Linked DNA regions of Oryzias latipes. The main gene of each other region encodes a partner of the protein of the gene in region 2 in a complex. Links are inferred from orthologs where the notes say so. Each region holds a gene or a part of one and is shown on either strand. Other genes may lie near its edges.

Region 1 (4,676 bases), on a different chromosome or scaffold from region 2:
TAGGAATAATACATAAAAACAATACAATCATCAGTTATAGATTCGTACCACAACTAATCAAACTTTGGATAATTAATCATATAAATAAATATTGCTTGAAAGGGAGTGGAAGGAAGCGAACTTATATAAACCCACCCCTGTTCTACCGTAACCATTTTATAACATGATTTATCATTATCCGGTTAAGTGGCCATCTTTTTTCTGTCTTGGTTTGTGTTCGTAAAGCATTAGCGCCATCTAGTGGTTAATGTGGTCATAGCAACCTGAGTTTTCTTGCAGCTTTTAAAAAAAAATGATAATATAACAACTGAAAATGTTGAAACATTCGTCTTTTACTTTTGGTACCTCTGTTTTTTAATGAACCAGTTATTCTGTAATTTACACGTCTTGAATTTTTTGCATGAAAGAAGTCTTTGGTATCACAACGTTAGTAAAAACAAACACGTTTTTTACTCAAGAGAGAAGCTAAAAATAATTCATGTATTGTTCATCGTTTAGAGTACACTTCTATGAACTCAAGTAACAAGCTCTGTGGGACCAGCTGTCATAAACTATACAGCGACAGACATCAAGACTCATGATCAAGACTCATGAGGTTGGAATGAAAAAGTAGGTCAAGGTCTTTCTGTAATTGCAAAATCATTTAAGCAGGCTAATGCAACAAAAATCCCTTTGGGTTTGAACAAAAATAGTCTCTGAGAAGATGAAAGAATTATGTTTTTGCTGATATGTGTGCAGAAAAAGGAGCTGCAGTGATGTCCAAATCCTCTAAGCAGGTCCATTATGTGCACTACTTGTGTTGTACTTATTATTGTTATTTATTCTTTGAATATTTCCTATTTGTAACAATAACTTTAACATAACACAACTTGCCTTAAATCAAGTTAGAACATATTATTTTTTGTTTTCAACTTAAATATTTCCCTAAAGTTAGGATAAAAACATACGTTTAAACCATATTACAAAACATTTTGCACAAATTATTCCTGTCACTAAATCCCAATCATACATGAAAACATGAACCATGACACAAACTCAAACAAAAAAACTAAGATTTGTTTTTATAAAAACAAATTTAGCAAATTGGTCATGCTGAAAAATATTAATAAATAAATATTACATTTGCAATTAAAACTCGAATACTGCTGCTAACTAAACTGTTTATTTCTGTCGTTCAGTCGCCAGGTCAGATTATTTTTTCATTGCCGTTGGAGGTTAAGGGATTAACTGGGATTCGCCTGATCCCAGATCTGTGATTTGCACCGCAGCGATTTGCGTTTGATGTCCGTGTTCTCGCGACATTCCGCGAAGTTTCCGGTGTTGTGTATGTTCCTGGAAACATGGCGGCCAGCTTCCGCGGCCGTCCTATCCGGAGTCTTCGGATGCGAGGTAAGCGTGAAAAACTCAGCTCATAATTTGTTGGAATGGCAGCGTATTGCAATAAGAGCACGTCTCCCACAAAACATAGCATTGAATTTGTCCTTCAGCGTTTCCGTTGCGTTTGTTTTTGTCAGGGCGGAATGACAGCGGGGAGGAGAACGTACCGCTGGATCTGAGTAGAGGTAAGCAGAGGCTCATCATTCTAAAAGCTATTATTGCTCAAAATGGATTATGGTTGACTTTATGCACAAAATATACGAACCTCTAAATGAACCACGAGATTGCCACGTGGATGCATTTTTAATTAAACGTTTTATTTGTTGTTGTTTTGTTCAAAAATCTTCCTTTGTGGCTATAAACAGGCGAGAGGGAGCTAACTAGCTAGCTGATTTAGCGTTAGCTGGCTGCCACAGCTAACCAGTCATGACGATGCGCTGTTGTTTTGGTAGGCGTGAGTGGGCTGCAGAGCCTGCTATTTAGCGAGACAGCCATTAGAGTTGCATTAATACACGAGGCTCCGCTGGCTGTCAGAAACCCTGAGCTTAAGCCGGTTTGCTGAGCAATGCACATACGGGCTTTTTTTTTTTTATTCACAGCTCAGCCGAGTTAAATTTGCTCATCTAGCAACAGCACTGTCTGCTTGTTTGTTTACACCAACCAGCGGCTGTTTTCTTTGTTTGGAACCTTTTGCGGCTGCTAGGCACACTTGACTCACGATAAAAGCACGATCAACGAGTTCTGATGGAAACATTTCGGTCCTAAATTAGGAAAACGATTACGAACATAGTTTGTGTTTTTTGTCAGCTTAGGTTTTTATATAAAACGTATCTTACTGGAACAAACTCAACCATTGATGGGGGGTATTCCAGAAAGTAGGTTATGCTATTTACCACGATAAGTTTGAGGCTAAGGAAGCGGATAGCCTCAGCTTTTGGTTCCAAAAACAGTGGTATGTTTCAGGGTATGTGAAGTTGCTATAGCAACTCATGCTCTGAACATAACCTGGTCTGGAGCAGGTTTAGTTGAAGGTTAGTTGGTTTCAGAGAGGTGAAGGAGCATGCAGTGTCCATTTGAAGATGATTTAGTGGATGAAGAAGCTCAGATAATACTTTTTCCACCATGAGAGGGTGATAAGACCACGTATGGATGTTGGAAAGATGAACTTTTTTACATTAATCTAACTTAATTATTTGCTTCAGTTAAGATACATTCTTTTTGTTACATGAGCTTAAAAAGAACACTAAGTTATCAGACAGTTATTTTACTTTAATTCAAATTAATTCAATTAAGTAGGTGTAACTTTGGTGCTGCTGTTAGATCGGCGCTGCAAGGAATTGTGGGATACCATTCCCTTTGCCTGTCTGGACGGATTTGGGTTTAAGTGTGGGTTTTTGACCAAATGTGTTTAGTTGTTTATCTGTTTTACTGTGTATTTCCGAGTTATTTGTCCTGTTGTGTTTAATTCTTTCTGCACCATGAGTGAGAGGGAGGGAGAGAATGATGAGGTTATTTAGCACCCCTACTGCTCAGTGTTGTAATGTCAAAGTCAGAGAAAGGATAAATGACTTTAAGTTTTGTGTTGTGAATCTATATTGTTTCATTCATTTTAATGTTATAAAAATGAGAATATCTACAGGCTCAAATGTAGACATATGAGAGTTCAAGAAATACAATAAATTAAGATGGAAAGACATTTAATTGAATTGGAGTAATATGACATTTAGTTAGAAAAATATGTAAATTTGAGATTTCAGCCAGAGTTCAGGGTTAAAGTCAGGGTAGTTTAAACATGCTTCCTGGATTACCCCCCAGGAACGTTTATAATGCAATAACACCACTGTTTCTTAAACGATTGATCGATTTTTGCTTCACGGATAAGAAGCTAAAGTTTAAGGTATATTTATACACCAGTGCTTGTTTGCCTTTTTGCTTTTGATACTTTTATCTTAGCATCATATAGGAAATCTTCTTAAATGTCAACCTCAGTTAAACCATTTTCGTGGTATTCTATTGTTTTGTTTTGTAGCTGTACGGATTTTTCCCCCTTTGTATTTGAAGTTCTAAATCTTGTTAAAATATCAGTTTTTTTTATGGAGAGATAATATAAGACAATTTAAAACATAATCTGGGATTAGGATGGTCTATTTACGTGTTTGTGAAATGGATTTCTTCATTGATTGGTATATCTGACATTAGTTTCTACAGATATTAGATGTCTACATATGAAATAACCTCGCAAGTGTTTTAATATTTTATCAAATAATTAACATTAGATGAATTGTTGGAAAGCAAAGTCTAACTTGCTCGACTTTGCTTTTTGCTATAAAGGTCTAGTTTTGACTGCATAAACGTAAAACTAGTAAACTAATTGATAGCCCTTTCCTTTTCTCCTGTAACCACAGAGCTATTTTGTCCACTGAAATGGTCTTTTTGTTTCCCTCTAGAACCATCAGAAAACTTCCGGGAAATTCTTCAAAATGTGGCTAAACCACACGGAGTTAGCAACATGCGAAAACTGGGCCACCTGAACAACTTCATAAAGGTAAGAATGCTGCAGCATTTTTTTGCTCCACATGCAGCTTTTTAAGGAAGATGACTGTAGATATATTGAATGACTGATCAACTACTCTTCCTCTGAAATGTAGCTGCTGACCTGCTGAGGTTTATACCACAGTTTAGATTAAAAAAAAAAAAAAGCTCTGGGGATAGAAATGCATCATAAGCTTCTATTCAACTAGAATAACCTGCTGGCTATAAAACTAAAATAATATATATATTTTTTTACTGTAAACCCTAACTTGTTTCTCAATTTGTTTTCCTATTCCTCAGTATGTTTGGATTATGTTTAATATTTGTTGCAAAAGTGAAGATTCTCCTAAACTTATCTGACTCCGGTGGCAAAATTGTTAAAGAGATGGAGACAGTTTTAGGTCCATCTAAATTGGAACAAGATCAGGGATTTCAGAGCACCTCTGAAGAGACTTTAGAAAGGCTCAGACCAACCTTTAATAGCACAATGTTTTAACAAGCAGTTGAGTTTCACCTCCATCTATCCCCGCAAAAAAAGTATATATCACCTTTGACACACTAAAAAACGATTTTTGCAGCTAATTTCCTGCCCGGAGGTAAGAAGACTTGATCTCTGAAGCACTGCCTTTCGCTCCTTGTGGGCGTCGCCCATTTCAGGACGTCAACCTATAGCTGGCCTCGGCGGCGTATCTGCGTTTCGCCCAAAAAACAAACATCATCCAAACTTTTGTAGAGATGGTTGTGCATATTGTGGAGTCTTAAAAAAA
Region 2 (4,164 bases):
TGTGTAGCCCACCTTCAAGTGGTAGGGGTGTGGCCTTCCAACAAGCTCACTCCTGATTGGCCAGAAGTGGTGGCCATAGAATTGATGACTCATAGCGACTCAGACCAATCACTACTTGCTGACGACGTCTGGCTCCAACATCTAATCTATCCCACAATTATGCAGACTAATTGACTTTTCTTCTTGTATCTCTATTTCTTTGACGTCACCCTGATGGACAAATATCTGTTATGAAGACCTCTCCAAGGCTTTATTCTTTATTTTTTTACCCTCCAATCAATCTATAAATTAACATCTTAAATGGATTTGATAGTTCTATAGTCTTTTTCCTTTATTTTTATCTCTGAAAATAGCTTCAAATCAACAAATCACTGAAGTTCTATGTAAATGTTAAAGTATTAAGACACACAGAAAGACTTCAAAGTACGAAATTCTCTTTACGTTGATTTTATTGAAGCGTTTATTTTGAGGCATTGCTGTGCGTCAATGTGATCGAACCAAGAAAAGAAGCAGCAGGTTCCCAGGGTTCAAGATCCTCAACAGCAAGACAAAAATAAACTGAAAGGATCCAATCCTGCCTTTAAGTTTGCACAGAAGCGTCTCAGCATCTTGTGAGGATCTCCTGCAGTTGTGTGGATCCAGGCTGGAAGGGTGTGGGTTGTGTTTGTGTCGGGTTGTGTTGCCGTTGGCGTTGGGTTGTGTTTTGTCTTTGTGAGGTTTGTTACCAAATGCTGGTCTGGTCCGTCTCCCGCTGTAAACGGGACAGGGGAATGAAGAAAGATCACAGGCTGTTGGCATTTAATGTTAAACTAATGTTTGTGTGATTCAACACTGAAGAACACAGCAAATGACACCAGAACTGGGCTTCTGTGCTGCAGGAGTACTGGACTCCCAACAACCCCATGCAGAACACCATCATCCTCCTGATCGAGCAGATTGTGGTGGCGCTCGGTGGAGAGTTCAAGCTCTACCTGCCTCAGCTCATCCCACACATGCTGCGCGTTTTCATGCACGACAACAGCACCGGCCGCAGCGTAACCATCAAGGTGGGTGTTTCCGCGTGCTGGAGCTCTGTGCTGCTGCTGTTGAGCTGTGTTTTCTAACGGTCCTGTGAGGTTTTCTCCAACTGTGGTATCTGTCCGTGTATAGATCTATGCACTGAGCCTTAGTAGGTCGGTTCTCCTTCTTCCTGTCACCGAGACTAACATGCCTGCTGAGCAGCTCCCTGTTGGAACTGACCCCAGCAGGGACCTGCAGCATGCACAGCAGTCCTGTGGGGGCCCTTCCTCCCGCCTGCATGTGACCCGTAACAGTCCTAAGATGCATCCATGAGGTTCAACCTCCAAAACGTCAATACAGGTCTTTGCAGATTCCGTCCAGAACAGTTTCAAATGGTCCTCCTTCACTCCATGCTCCTGCAGAACCACAGATCAGTTTACCGCCAACTTACTGAGGCTCTGACCAGAGCCAGTCACCCCCCCCCCCCCCCCACCAACCCCCAGCTTTAGTGCATCAGTAAAAACTCCATGGACCTGCAGCACTGCAGCTTTACTGGAGTTTGTGGGAATCCGTTTGGTTCTGTCTGGTCTGCAGAGTCTGTAATTGCAGTTCATGGATTCACGGGGGCGGCAGAGGGGGTGTCAGGTTCTGGTCCAAAGGAAAAGGAAAACAAACTTTTCCATTTTTTTCAAATCTTTTTCAGCTCCCACCCCCACCCCCCCCATCCTACAGCATATCCATAAATACTCGTACGCCTTCACTTCAGCTTCCTGCCGTCTCGCCATGTGCCCTTTAGACATAGGCTGCTGGGGGGGGCAGAGATGCTGGGAGGGGGGTTGTCTGCAGCATACGTCATCCTTTTAAGACCCCAGAGTGTCTGCATTCTTCACACAAGGATTTTTACTGTAGAACCAAAAAGGCCTATACTGTTCTGGAAAGTTTTCCCATGATCCTTTGCTCCTCTCATATCACTTTTACCAGATGAACCAGAGTTTATTTCAAACCATATATTGAACTTTTTACAGGATTTGGATGACTTTAGAGTCATTAACTCTTCCTTTGACTCCTCGTGGGGGGGGGGCGGGTGAGGGGTGTGTGTGTGTGTGGGGGGGGGGGGGGTTTGGAGTCTTCATCCATGTTGTTCTTGCAGCTGCTAAATGCCATCCAGCTGTTTGGTGCTAACCTGGACGACTACCTTCACCTGCTGCTGCCCCCCATTGTCAAACTATTTGATGCCCCCGACGTTCCCCTGCAGGCCCGCAAGTGAGTTCTGACTTTCATCCCATATGGAGTGACATCTCACGTTGTAGTGGCAAATGAAAATATTAAATATTTGCTTTCAAATAAAATGTTTCCGTTTGCAACACAAATGTTTTCTCATGCGTTGTGACTCATCTCGCTGTTTTCCTATCTTTGATTTTGCTCTCATAAGTTTGTTTAGCTGACAAAGCTGCCATCAAACGGAAAAGAAAAATTGAAAGCAAAGAAAAATAATTTGACAGCAAATATTTAATATTTTTATTTGCAACCTGAAGAGTTTTGTGTGCAACGCGGCGGCATAAATACAGCTCCATAGGAATGCCGTGTTCCCTCGCTGTATCGCGGTCCACCTTTCACCGTCTCGCTCTTTCACAGACTTTTATTCTGGAAAATGTTGGATCCTTTTATTATTGTTTTTTAATTTTGCATTGCGTTCTGTGTCCTGATTGGCTGTAGACTTTGTCAATCAATCCGTGTCATTGGCTAAATCTTCGATCATGATCAGATCTATGTTTCTGGACGGTTTTTTCCATGAAGGTTTGAACTTTGAGAGTCTTTAACCAAAAGAGAAAAGTGTGGAAAATGTTGAGGTCTGCCTGAGAAGAGTGTAGAAAGTGTGCAGCGTTGAGTTAAACATCTATGCTGCTTCACAGATTCATCGGTCGCGGGTCATTTTTAGGACGTATGCCTGCTAAAACGAGGGAACGCTGTAAATGAAAGTAAACTGTGACGTGAGAAGAACCAGGTGTGGATGATACGGAGCTAAAAGCAGGCGTTTCCTGGTGGTTCCTGTTCTTTCATGTAGAGAGCGGCGCTAAAGCGCCTCAGATAGCTCTGTTTGTGAGCACGTTTTCATGTGAACCGGATCGGTTTCCTGTTTTCTTGTGTGGTTCAGGGTTGCCTTGGAGACCCTCGACAGGCTGACGGAGTCCCTGGACTTCACAGACTACGCTTCTCGCATCATTCACCCCATCGTTAGGGCGCTTGACAGCACTCCTGAGTTACGGTCCACCTCCATGGACACCCTGTCCTCACTGGTTTTCCAGTTGGGAAAGAAGGTAGGCACATTGGTCCCTGGAGTGTGCTGTTATTCTGTAGGCCGGCCTCTACTCTGTTGGCCAGACATGAACCAGGTTTCCGTAACCCTCCTCAGTCTCTGCTACTTCCTGCCAGACTAATGATGTCACAGACTGTTTGCCAGCAGGGGGTGTTGTTTATGAGAGTGGATGAGGACACATGTACCCTGGGCTCTCAAGACCCTTCTCCTCTTCACTCTTTTTATTGTCCTGAGGTCTAACCTCAGAACCACCAGGCCTCCTTCCAGTCATGACTGGCAGCAAAGCCACAGGAAAGGCTTTTGATCCGTCACTCATGGAGGTTGCATGTTAGTGCCGCATGGCCCTCTATTTACTTTATGGAGAAAGGAAAAAACTGTAGCTGGGCCCACCGCATCAAGCATGTGTAGTCTTTGTTTACATGGCCTCTCTTTCTGCTTATTTTCAGTACCAGATATTTATCCCCATGGTGAACAAAGTGATGCTGAAGCACAGGATCAATCACCAGCGCTACGACATTCTCATATGCCGCATTGTGAAAGTAAGTTCTTCTGCTTTCTGGAAATGTACTCAGAGTTATTGGGACTGAATTTGGGGGATTTGTCTCCGGTTCCCGGAGGTCCAAATATCAGGACGTAAACTTCTCCTCGGGATTTGACCATGAATGTCTTAATCTAAAGAAGAGATCTTCCCTGTCAGCTTCTCCTGGAGGTATTGATGTCTGGGAAGTTCAGCAGAGATCCTGACTGCCCATCTTTAATGAAAATGTTGTTTTTAACACGTTCTTGTGGTTATGGAGGATAAAAGACTAAATTGCATTTAGTCTTTTTGCATAAATTGCATAAATTTT
Region 3 (4,929 bases), on a different chromosome or scaffold from region 2:
TTATTATTAAATATAATACATTTGAATAATTATTAAGAGGATCCGTAAACCAAAAGGTAAATCATTCAGACTCCATACCCGGTTGTTGATAAGAGTTGGTGTTTGTTTGTTTTTTGTGGCTTCATTTTTGCGTGTTTGTGTTTGTTTTCTGCCTGCAGTGGACTCCATCACTGACGTTTACACCGTCAACCAGCTGAAGTTGAAGGCCAAGGAGCAACCGGAGACTTTCTTCGGCCTGACTTACAGCTTCATCTCCAAGCTGGACCTGGACTCCTCTGCCTCTAAAGTCATCAAGACCCGCTGGTACGATCGCACCAAAGTCACGGCCTCCTTCTTTCCTTCCATCTGTCCGTGCTTCGATTTGGGCTTTTTTCAGCTCTAAATGTAGGTTCCTGCTGACGGCGGACATGCAGAGCTGCGGTAACCAGCTGTGTCCGGGCGGGGAGCAGCCGTTCTCAGGCACCACAGGCTTCGACCTGCTGGTGGACCTGACCGACCACACCGGCACGCTGCAGGCCTGCAGCCTCCGGGGCGCCACGGCGGAGCAGACGCTCGGCTGCTCGGTCGGTAACTCCTCAGAGGCTGAGGGGGGGGGTCAGCTCCAAACTGCTGAGATCCACAGACTTCTCTTAAATATGCTGCTGCCTGCTTCCAGACGGACGAGTTCATCCGTCTGACCGATGATCAGCGCACCGCTCTCAAGTGGAAGTTTCTTCTGGAAAGATGCAAAATATACCTGAAGGTATTCCAGCCTTCAAAAGGCATGTTTTTTTTTTTTTTGTCTTTGTGATGTGTTTTTATTGTTCATGAGATCGTCTGCCGCAGATCCTTCCCTCTGCGAGAACGAAAAGCGGCATCAGGGGGGTGATCCTGGCCTGCTCTCCGGCCGACCCAGGAGAGGTGAAGCAGCATATGTCGGCTGTTCTGCAGCAGCTTTGAACCAGCAATGCGAAGTCTGTTCTATTTACATTTGTTCTGCGCTAATTACAATGTAAACAGATGCTTCAACTGTTATTTATTTATTTATTCTTATTTATTTAACTTATTGATATAAATTGATTTATTTAAAAAAAGGCGTTAAATTGTTCCTGTTTAATAAAGTTGTGTTTTGAAAAAAAATTCTGATTTATTATCACAAAATACAATTAAAAAAGAAAAAAAAAACAAAAGCAACTGTTATAAAAAAAAGTATATTTAAAATAAAAAGAATGATGTAGATTTTATGTAGCGACAATAAATGCTTTATTTAAAGCAATTTTAACCATAAAAAAAGAAAAATATGTATTAAAATTTTGAATTCATAAAAATGATTAAAAAGAAATAAAACAATATGTTTAAATATTTTTTGACATATTACTCTGAATCATAAGGAGACATATTTGCACATTTATTGTAATGATTGCCAAATAAAAGTTGATTAATTACCTGAAAGAGTGTGGGAAAAGGCGATTTTATGATTCTACCTCTATTATGATTTATTTTTTATTATTATTATTTTACATCGTTGCATTCCTGCATTTAAACAATTTTTTTTTCAAAGCGGAACGTTTGACACACTTCTGTGTTTATCGGGGACGCGTTAGTCAGACGTACCGCAGTCGCGAATGATGGCTTCAGGAAATCTGTAAAGCGAATTCTTATCAGATTTTTAGATGTTTTCTCACATTCAGATATTTTTAAAACGGCTTTTCTTTAAAAGAGTTAACTTCAAAAAGCTTGAGCTGACGTCGTTGGCCGATCGTTTGGACCGAGTTCGTCAGATGTAACTAAGTGGACTGACGGGTTCTGGTGTTGTTTGTAACCGTGACACACTAGCGGAGAAGCATGAATGTCAACCAGGGCACGGTGGGCAGCGACCCGGTTATCCTGGCCACGGCTGGATACGATCACACAGTCCGGTTCTGGCAGGCCCACAGCGGGATCTGTACCCGGACGGTGCAGCATCAGGACTCGGTATCCTTTCCCTGGTTAGAACGGTTCGGTGAGAGCTCTCTGTTTACATGCGCTACCGCTGGCTTACAGCCGCTCACACCCCAACCTGACGAAATGGCCCCCAATTTCGGAGCTTTACTGAATTGAAAAACAAAATTATGACTTTAGTCTCGTAAAATTTTACATTTTTATTGTTGTTTATACTTTTACAAATTTATTAGTGTAATTTTTTTTTACTTTTTAATAATAATTTTACTACGGAACGGTATTATGTTAAATAAAAATAAAATACAGGTGACCTTTGCTCTAACTTGTTTGACATAATCCGTTTTTGTTTTGTTTTTGTTTGATTCACCACACACACTAAAAATAAAACCATCAACTGTTAATTAAATGCAATAGGCTTAATATTTTACAGCATTATTCTCATACATAATATGTATTTTGTTGTAGAAAAATGCTATAAAAGGCATATATATGCTAAATACCTCAAAAACGCGACTTTCGGAGTGGGCCTTTAACTCGTCATTTCAGCAAGTGAATTCCCTTGAAGTGACCCCGGACAGAAGCATGATCGCCGCCGCAGGTCAGTCCAAACTCTCCCATTTGAAGGCTGCGCGGCGTTTCACTGCGCGTTCCTCCTCTTCCTCCTGCAGGGTATCAGCACATCCGCATGTACGACCTGAACTCCAACAACCCAAACCCCGTCATCAACTACGACGGAGTCAGCAAGAACATCACCTCCGTGGGCTTCCATGAGGACGGACGCTGGATGTACACCGGAGGAGAGGACTGCATGGCTCGCATATGGGACCTAAGGTACGGCGGTTCACCTCCACCGCACACCCCGGCAGAAATCCACTCTGCTGTTATCAACCCTCCTCCTTTCAGGTCAAGAAACCTGCAGTGTCAGAGGATCTTCCAAGTAAACGCTCCCATCAACTGTGTGTGTCTTCATCCCAATCAGGTATCCTCAAAGCTGCACAGGTGTTTGATGTGGATTTATCTGTAGATTTGTCAGCGTTTTGTGATTTTTCTTTTAGGCGGAGCTGATTGTTGGGGATCAGAGTGGCGTGATTCACATCTGGGACCTGAAAACGGACCACAACGAACAGCTGATTCCAGAGCCAGAAGTCTCGGTGAACTCTGTCCACATCGACCCCGATGCCAGCTACATGGCAGCCGTCAACAGCTCGGTGCGTCCCCAAACTGAACATGGGACGCAAAAACTGGGGTTGGAGAGAAACTAGAGTGAGGTTCCTGTTCCCCCCCCCAACAGGGAAACTGTTACGTGTGGAACCTGGCTGGAGGGATGGGAGACGAAGTGACGCAGCTCATTCCAAAGACGAAGATCCCGGCGCACAAACGATACTCGCTGCGCTGCAAGTTCAGCCCCGACTCCACGTGAGGCTTTTTGTTGTTTCTGCCTGACGTGAGGCCAAACAGAAAAAAAACCTCATTGATGTTTCTCCTTGAATGTCTCCAGACTACTGGCCACCTGCTCAGCGGATCAGACCTGCAAGATCTGGAGGACGTCCAACTTCTCCCTGATGACGGAGCTGAGCATCAAAAGCAACAACCCCGGGGAGACGTCCCGAGGCTGGATGTGGGACTGCGCCTTCTCCGGAGACTCGCAGTACATCGTTACAGGTGCGTACCTTCACCTTTGGGTCTGTCCCCTTGTCCCGCTGAGTTTTTAAAGTTAAAAATGGCATGTTTTAGCAAACTTTAATATAAAATTAAAGCCGTAAACGGCGTTGCATGACCTGCAGAGGACACTGCCCCCTTTTGAACCGCCTTCACCCTCCCCTTCTGCCAGTCTGGTCACAAATTCATGAAAGAGAACACTTTTATTCAAAAGTGCGGCTTTTCTGATGGTTTTATCTCCATGGCAACCATTTCAGTTTTTGGTCACCGCGGGGTGACGAACAGGTTTCGGTCATTTTTAGAAGAATCTGCAAAAGTAGATTTTTGGATTTCCTTAGCAACGTAGGATTTTTGTTAACCACACCCACATTTCTTATATGTTCATATTGTTTGTCATATCGTTTGGTTCAGCTTGAGCAGAGGTGCGCTCCATTTTCTCAATATTCCGGTAAAAAATGCGCCCACAACAGGAAATCGCCACTTTTGTGAACTCGCCGTTCAAAATCCACAAACTTTATTTCCAAAATTCCAATTAGTTTCCCAAGGACACCGCTCCAGGAGTCAGGAGGCGATTCTTAGGAGGAGTTTAAATTTGTAGCTGGGACTAAACGGGATAAATATGTATTTTTTTACAAAATTCAAGATGGCAGCTTCTTCCCGAGGTCAAAGGTCAATGAAACTTCAGCTCTTGTTGAAGACTTTTGAATTGTAAATTGTAGAATAAATTGTAGACGAATGTGAAAATCACCAAACGTCACTCTCTGCCACACAGTGACCACCAAGCCGTGGCACCTGTGGCCATCCCATAATAATTAAAAAAACTTCCTTCCAATCTGGTCGTCGTAGTCCAGGATTATTGCGGGGCGGAGTAATAATCCCGGTTTTTATCATTATCCAGCTGTTTCTTTAATGTTAGGAATCAGTTGAAGCAGAAAAATGGAGGTAAAGTCGCGTTTTTGTTCCGCAGCGTCTTCAGACAATCTCGCTCGTCTGTGGTGCGTCGAGACCGGCGAAATCAAGAGGGAGTACAGCGGCCACCAGAAGGCCGTGGTGTGTCTGGCCTTCAACGACAGCGTGCTCGGCTGAAGAGGACGACGGACGCCGTCAGCCGGAGCTGAACCCGCTGCTCAGTTTTGTCCAAATGAAACCCGGAATCGTTCGGCACAAAAATTCAAATCCAGAGGGTGACCGTTTTATTTTTTTTTAATTTTGTTGTGAATCTGTTAGTAAGAAGGAACATTTCCCAGGATATTTATTAAAAGCAAAAGGAACGCTGTCATTCCCGCTTCCCGCCTGGAGGAGGCGCTGCGGAGCTGCTTTCTCATATCAAGTGAAGAGAAATAAAAGCTG
Region 4 (4,941 bases), on a different chromosome or scaffold from region 2:
GCTGGGAGGTCAGAAGAAAGATGAAACCTTCATTTTCTCATTCTGTGTGGCTTTGTGCACAATTCTCAGATAAACAAGAGAGTTCAATAATCAAAGACCACCTTTTGTCCTCCGAACAGGTAAAGTGCACGGCTCTCTGGCTCGTGCTGGAAAAGTGAGAGGACAGACTCCTAAGGTGAGAGCTTTTTAAGCCAAATATAATTCAACCTGGGGTTTTGTATCGTTTTGGAGCTGATGTTGTGAGGCGCTTGATGCTCTCGTTCCTAACCCTCAGTTCTTGTGTTGTCCAGGTGGACAAGCAGGAGAAAAAGAAGAAGAAGACCGGCCGCGCCAAGCGCCGCATTCAGTACAACCGGCGTTTCGTCAACGTAGTTCCCACTTTTGGAAAGAAGAAGGGGCCCAATGCCAACTCCTAAGAGGTTGTGTGACCTGGAGGTGGACCGGCACAGCTGGATGTTTTCACTTGACATCTTCTGTACAGAATAAAAACGCTGCTCTGGCTTCCCCGGCTATCGTCTGCTTTAATAGTTTCCACACGAGTAGCCATTTCAAAAATGGTTCTGTCCTTCTGGTTCGGAGTAGGAAATCAGTTCAAATTTAGTTGTTTTGCTCAAGTTCAATTCTCTTATTTCTTAATCAAGATGAGGATACACTTCATACATAAAATTCAGGCAGAATCGCCCTGTAGCATGTTTTGTGTCTGTTTGGAAAGTTTTGGTGTCCAAAATCAACAGTTAAAAAAATGACATAAAGAAAATAAAGTGAATTCAGAAACATCTGGATGAACTTCAGTGGTGTTTCACTTTAGAGGCTGCATTATAAACCCAGATCTCCTAAATAACAAACTCAAGGGCTGTCTGCACTAAAATTCACAAGTCTTTTATCTGCAATTGAGATAATTAAGATTAAACTTTAGCAAATGAGATCTTTTATGAAAATGGAAAGTATCATATTCCTAGTAATGTAATTGCTATTTTAATTTCCTGTTAACATGACAAAAAGCAATGATTTAAACACATTTTTACTTGACCTATAAAATAAGAGATAAAGATGTAATTGAAAGCTATCCCTTATTTTATTCTGAAAGTAGTTTTATTGCAAATGTTTTTTGCTCCTTTCTGTGAGTGGATTTTTAAATGAAAAAAAATTTCTAAGAACAAAAACCTAAATGGCAGGGATAACTTTGTAAATTACTGGTATAACAATTTAACCCTTGTGCTATCTTAGATGACCCCACCCTTCCATTGACATGTTCTCCATACCATGACAAAGGTGGATAAAGGTGGAAAGATTTCATGTAATCCATGGACACCATTGAAGATCACAAATCATTGAAGAAAAAAGGTTCAGAGCACTGTCTAGTGGGTCTAGATGACCCAACTCCCAACGTTAAAATGCCTAGGATAGCACAAGGGTTAAAAAATGTTATTGGTTAATCAAATAAGTTAATAATTAGAAATATAGCCATTTTGTCTCTTTCTGTGGATAGCTTTTGAGTTAATAAAATACAGTTATCTTTTACATCACAAAAACACGCTTTTATTTTGAAAGCTTGTCAACGGGATGACGTATACGTGCACAACCAATCAGAGAGACGCTGGACTGACCCGCAGTAAAGATGGCGGACGAACCCATGCGTGAGTGGACCGACGAGCAGCTCAGAAGTGACAGTGTGGCCAAAAAGGACTTAATAAAGTTTTTACAGGACCACGCGACTCACACGGTAGGAAAACTACGCGCTCGAGGGTTTACTATCTTATAGCTGTGATACTGCTGAGCGGTTGTTATGATTCAGCGCGTCGCAGCATGATGATGTAATTATTGTCTTGCAGTTCCTTTCTGAGTACAAACTGCTGGGAAACATAAAAAATGTCACCAAGACGGCGAATAAAGAGCAGCTGGTGGTCGCCTACAACCAGCTGTTTGAGAGTAAGGTGAGAGAGGCGGGTGAGTTTGTGCCGCAGACTAATAAAGGTTTGATTCAAAAACACAAACATGTCTTCAGAGGTTTAAAGGGACTGAACCAGAGGAGCTGACAGAGAAGGTGAAGGCGGTGAAAATCGAAGACAAGCCCAAAGAGGTGAAGGCGGAGCCTGTGGATGAGGTAATATCTGCTTTGATTTATCCCAAATTCCACCATTGACTGTAAATGAGAACTGGAGAGAGTCTGATGACACCCATAGAAAATATCTTACTTCCAGCTCCAACAAAACCAGGTCAATTCAGTCGCCCTTCTTCCAGAATATGGCTGTCGCCATGTTGGAACCAGAAATTGGCAGTAAGCAGTGATTGTCCCGAGTCCGGAAGAGTCAATGTTTCTATGGCAACCCTTCTCACCAACCAGGAAGGGGTTTGTTAAAAGGCCACACCCCCACCCCTTGAAACAGGCTTGAGAGAATGTCGATCTGTCAATCAAATGCTTTGAATGTTTACAGCGTGAGACCACAAATTTTTACCAAGGCATCCGAGTGGTCCGTGAAAACGTCTTTTATTAAGAAGACGTTATAGCAAAGGTATCAGAGCAAGAATGGTCATTCTGACCAATTGAATGACTGACTGAGTAAAAGCTGTTTATTTCTCTAGAGACGTCTATGGGATTTTGGCTTCTTGGAGTCAGCGGGTACTCAATCCAATTCTCATATACAGTCCAGCACTCGGGTTGGTTTCATGTTGTGATGGTCTCAGAATTGAAACCGAAGACCGAAACAGATCGAACTGTCAGGGAAAAAAAATCCTGCAATTCCAAACGCCAATCACTTTCCCCCAAGTGATGGGTTAATCTATTTATTTGACTTCATGAGGAGTTAATGTGAGTTTTCACACGGTGTCCGTCTCGTTTCAGGGTCCCCCTAAATACACCAAATCCACCCTGAAAAAAGGTGACAAGACCAACATCCCGAAGAAGGGCGACACGGTGAGCTGCTGGTACACGGGCAGCCTGGAGGACGGGACTGTCTTCGACACCAACATCCCCGCAGGTACCAGGAACTGTGGGCCTTGACTTTTCCAGAGTCGCTCGCGGCTCCATCGTCACTGCTTTCTCGTTTCCATAGCGGCAAAGAAGAAGAGGCAGACCAAGCCGCTGAGCTTCAAAGTCGGCTTGGGGAGAGTGATCAGAGGGGTACGTTTGCCTTCTCTCTGTTTATTCACGGCTCTTTGACTGACCTGTCTGTCACCCGCTGTCGCCACAGTGGGACGAAGCCCTTCTGACCATGAGCAAGGGGGAAACTGCACGGCTGGAAATTGAACCAGAGTGGGCGTACGGAAAGAAAGGCCTGCCAGACTCCAAGTATCCTTTCCTGCTGGACTTTTATTTTGAAGTGTGCAGACATGGATGACAGGGTTCTAGTATCAACCCGTTACTAGTGAAAGTAGTTGGAAGAGTTTTGGGGTGAGAAATGTTGAAGCGGTGTAAATCTTTTGAATCTTGCTCCAAGCCTCTTTCTGTAGCTGCTCTTTTCCAACATATGAAAAGGATGCTACCCATACGTCCCTAAAAAACCTGAGTCTAATAGAAAACCCACAATGACCTCTGAAGAACTTTCCAACTCAATGGCAATGGAAACGGAAACCTCGGGATCGGCGCTTTGAGGAAAAATGAGCGGTTCGGTATCAAAAATGTGGTGTCAGTTGGACATCTTCCTGCAGGGAAATGACCTAAACCACAAACATCTACCAGGGATCTCCAACCCTGTTCCTTGTGAGATACTGCCCTGCTTGTTTTGCAGCTAAGCCTGCTCCAATCATCACTGCTCACCTGGATCAGGTGTATTCAGTCGATTAGACACTGGGCTCACTCAGTCCAGCCAATCAGGACTTACTGCAGCAGTTAGCTGTAAAACAAGCAGGGCAGTAGCTCTCAAGGAACAGGACACAGTTCTTTACACAAGACTCTTCTGAAGTGAAACCATCAAAACCTGAGACTTTTGCAGCTCAATTTCATACGTTTTGCAACAGACAGTGAAGCTGAGAGAATTGTGTCTTTCGTCCAGGCCTGCTTCTGCATTGCATCAGTTTCTATGATTTAACTCCAAAGGGATGTTTTTTTGATGATGCTGAAGGTTTGTTTTCGCCTGAACTCCTTCTTCTCCAGAATTCCTCCAAACGCAAAGCTGATATTCGAAGTTGAACTGGTGTCCGTGGACTGACCGCTCTGCGCAGGTCCTCGCTTAGGCCGACGGATCGCTGTGGTGGAAGTTTTGGCCCAAATGTCCAGCATGAAGCCTCCCGAAAAAAAGAGCTGGGCCATACCAGGAAAAAAAACAACCTCATTTTATTTTGTTTACAAACTCTGAACTAATAAAGTTGTTTTCTGTCAGACAAAGCCTTCAGTTGGTTTCTTTTATGTATGGATCACCAAAATAAGCAATCCAAGTCAGATATATGTATTTTTACAAATGCAATCTGTTATCTACATGTAATAGAAAAAAAGAATGTGGGAAAAATACTAGGTTAATTTCAAAAGCTAGGGCTTTCTCACACAGCAGAAGAGCAAACCAAAAATGAAAGTAGAGTAAACTGCTCGGGAAAAACTGCAGTTCCAGCATCAGTCCATTGGAGGGCAGTGTTTCCCAAAGCAAACTGACCAGGGTGAGGAAGAAAGCAAAAAAAAAAAAATTGCACCTCCTCTGGTATCCCACAACCCATTTTGCATTGTTTTCCTTTTGTCCTATTGTTTGCGTCAATTACTCCCTCTTGTTTAACCCTTGTGCTATCCAACGCACTTTAACGTTGGGAGTTGGGTCATCTAGACCCACTAGACAGTGCTCTGAACCTTTTTTCTTCAATGATTTGTGATCTTCACTGGTGTCCATGGATTACATGAAATCTTTCCACCTTTATCCACCTTTGTCATGATAGGGAGAACACGTCAAAGTAAGGGTGGGGTCATCTAAGATAGCACAAGGGTTGTGCATTCATTCATTCATCTTCTAAACCCGT

Evidence for each region. Proteins that work in one complex are often made in the same cells at the same time.
Region 1: the proteins of mtor (region 2) and rictor are in contact, whole or in part, in a cryo-EM structure (PDB 6ZWM), measured with the Homo sapiens proteins. The link is inferred for Oryzias latipes from reciprocal best matches to the Homo sapiens genes MTOR and RICTOR. Residues at the interface, in NP_001373429.1 of Homo sapiens: Arg1028, Asp1032, Lys1068, Leu1069, Asp1108, Asp1109, Tyr1110, Asp1150, Lys1187, Asn1196, Val1200, Gln1207, Asp1210, Val1211, Cys1214, Arg1215, Lys1218, Gly1219, Tyr1220, Thr1221, Leu1222, Ala1223, Glu1226, Glu1227, Asp1228, Leu1230, Ile1231, His1234, Arg1235, Arg1238; in NP_689969.2 of Homo sapiens: Leu204, Arg205, Gly206, Asn209, Arg245, Asp247, Val248, Glu249, Glu251, Arg252, Leu254, Thr258, Asp259, Phe260, His261, Tyr262, Arg263, His264, Ser265, Pro266, Asn306, Gly308, Ser311, Gly314, Val315, Cys317, Ile318, Pro319, Glu345, Ile347.
Region 3: the proteins of mtor (region 2) and mlst8 are in contact, whole or in part, in a crystal structure (PDB 4JSV), measured with the Homo sapiens proteins. The link is inferred for Oryzias latipes from reciprocal best matches to the Homo sapiens genes MTOR and MLST8. Residues at the interface, in NP_001373429.1 of Homo sapiens: Leu2269, Arg2270, Met2271, Ala2272, Pro2273, Asp2274, His2277, Leu2278, Thr2279, Leu2280, Met2281, Gln2282, Val2284, Glu2285, Val2286, Glu2288, His2289, Asn2292, Asn2293, Glu2536; in NP_001186102.1 of Homo sapiens: Tyr20, His22, Asp42, Ser43, Gln44, Val45, Asn46, Tyr62, Asn87, Glu105, Gln148, Thr174, Arg221, Tyr222, Leu224, Ser268, Arg270, Gly271, Trp272, Trp274, Ser290, Lys313, Val316.
Region 4: the proteins of mtor (region 2) and fkbp3 are in contact, whole or in part, in a crystal structure (PDB 5GPG), measured with the Homo sapiens proteins. The link is inferred for Oryzias latipes from reciprocal best matches to the Homo sapiens genes MTOR and FKBP3. Residues at the interface, in NP_001373429.1 of Homo sapiens: Glu2032, Tyr2038, Phe2039, Gly2040, Arg2042, Tyr2088, Val2094, Leu2097, Tyr2105, His2106, Arg2109; in NP_002004.1 of Homo sapiens: Lys160, Pro161, Leu162, Ser163, Lys170, Tyr198, Lys201, Gly202, Gln203, Pro204, Asp205, Ala206.

The regions. Positions count from the first base shown.
Region 1 is NC_019867.2:18,765,147-18,769,822, reverse strand, and holds the start of rictor (rapamycin-insensitive companion of mTOR), read left to right. Parts: upstream 1-1,322; 5' UTR 1,323-1,340; coding exon 1,341-1,389; intron 1,390-1,514; coding exon 1,515-1,562; intron 1,563-3,824; coding exon 3,825-3,922; intron 3,923-4,676. UniProt on the Homo sapiens protein: Component of the mechanistic target of rapamycin complex 2 (mTORC2), which transduces signals from growth factors to pathways involved in proliferation, cytoskeletal organization, lipogenesis and anabolic output.
Region 2 is NC_019865.2:1,195,873-1,200,036, reverse strand, and holds part of mtor (serine/threonine-protein kinase mTOR), read left to right. Parts: intron 1-878; coding exon 879-1,046; intron 1,047-2,149; coding exon 2,150-2,262; intron 2,263-3,154; coding exon 3,155-3,317; intron 3,318-3,762; coding exon 3,763-3,855; intron 3,856-4,164. UniProt on the Homo sapiens protein: Serine/threonine protein kinase which is a central regulator of cellular metabolism, growth and survival in response to hormones, growth factors, nutrients, energy and stress signals.
Region 3 is NC_019877.2:3,130,518-3,135,446, reverse strand, and holds the start of mlst8 (target of rapamycin complex subunit LST8), read left to right. Parts: upstream 1-1,575; 5' UTR 1,576-1,824; coding exon 1,825-1,953; intron 1,954-2,466; coding exon 2,467-2,518; intron 2,519-2,588; coding exon 2,589-2,751; intron 2,752-2,823; coding exon 2,824-2,899; intron 2,900-2,975; coding exon 2,976-3,128; intron 3,129-3,211; coding exon 3,212-3,336; intron 3,337-3,418; coding exon 3,419-3,582; intron 3,583-4,546; coding exon 4,547-4,665; 3' UTR 4,666-4,929. Other genes in the region: meiob (meiosis-specific with OB domain-containing protein), read left to right, coding at 159-303, 377-563, 656-742, 826-939.
Region 4 is NC_019882.2:10,163,763-10,168,703, reverse strand, and holds fkbp3 (peptidyl-prolyl cis-trans isomerase FKBP3), read left to right. Parts: upstream 1-1,587; 5' UTR 1,588-1,618; coding exon 1,619-1,723; intron 1,724-1,832; coding exon 1,833-1,934; intron 1,935-2,005; coding exon 2,006-2,104; intron 2,105-2,842; coding exon 2,843-2,978; intron 2,979-3,053; coding exon 3,054-3,121; intron 3,122-3,191; coding exon 3,192-3,289; intron 3,290-4,093; coding exon 4,094-4,148; 3' UTR 4,149-4,321; downstream 4,322-4,941. Other genes in the region: fau (40S ribosomal protein S30), read left to right, coding at 1-8, 120-175, 291-416. UniProt on the Homo sapiens protein: FK506- and rapamycin-binding proteins (FKBPs) constitute a family of receptors for the two immunosuppressants which inhibit T-cell proliferation by arresting two distinct cytoplasmic signal transmission pathways. PPIases accelerate the folding of proteins.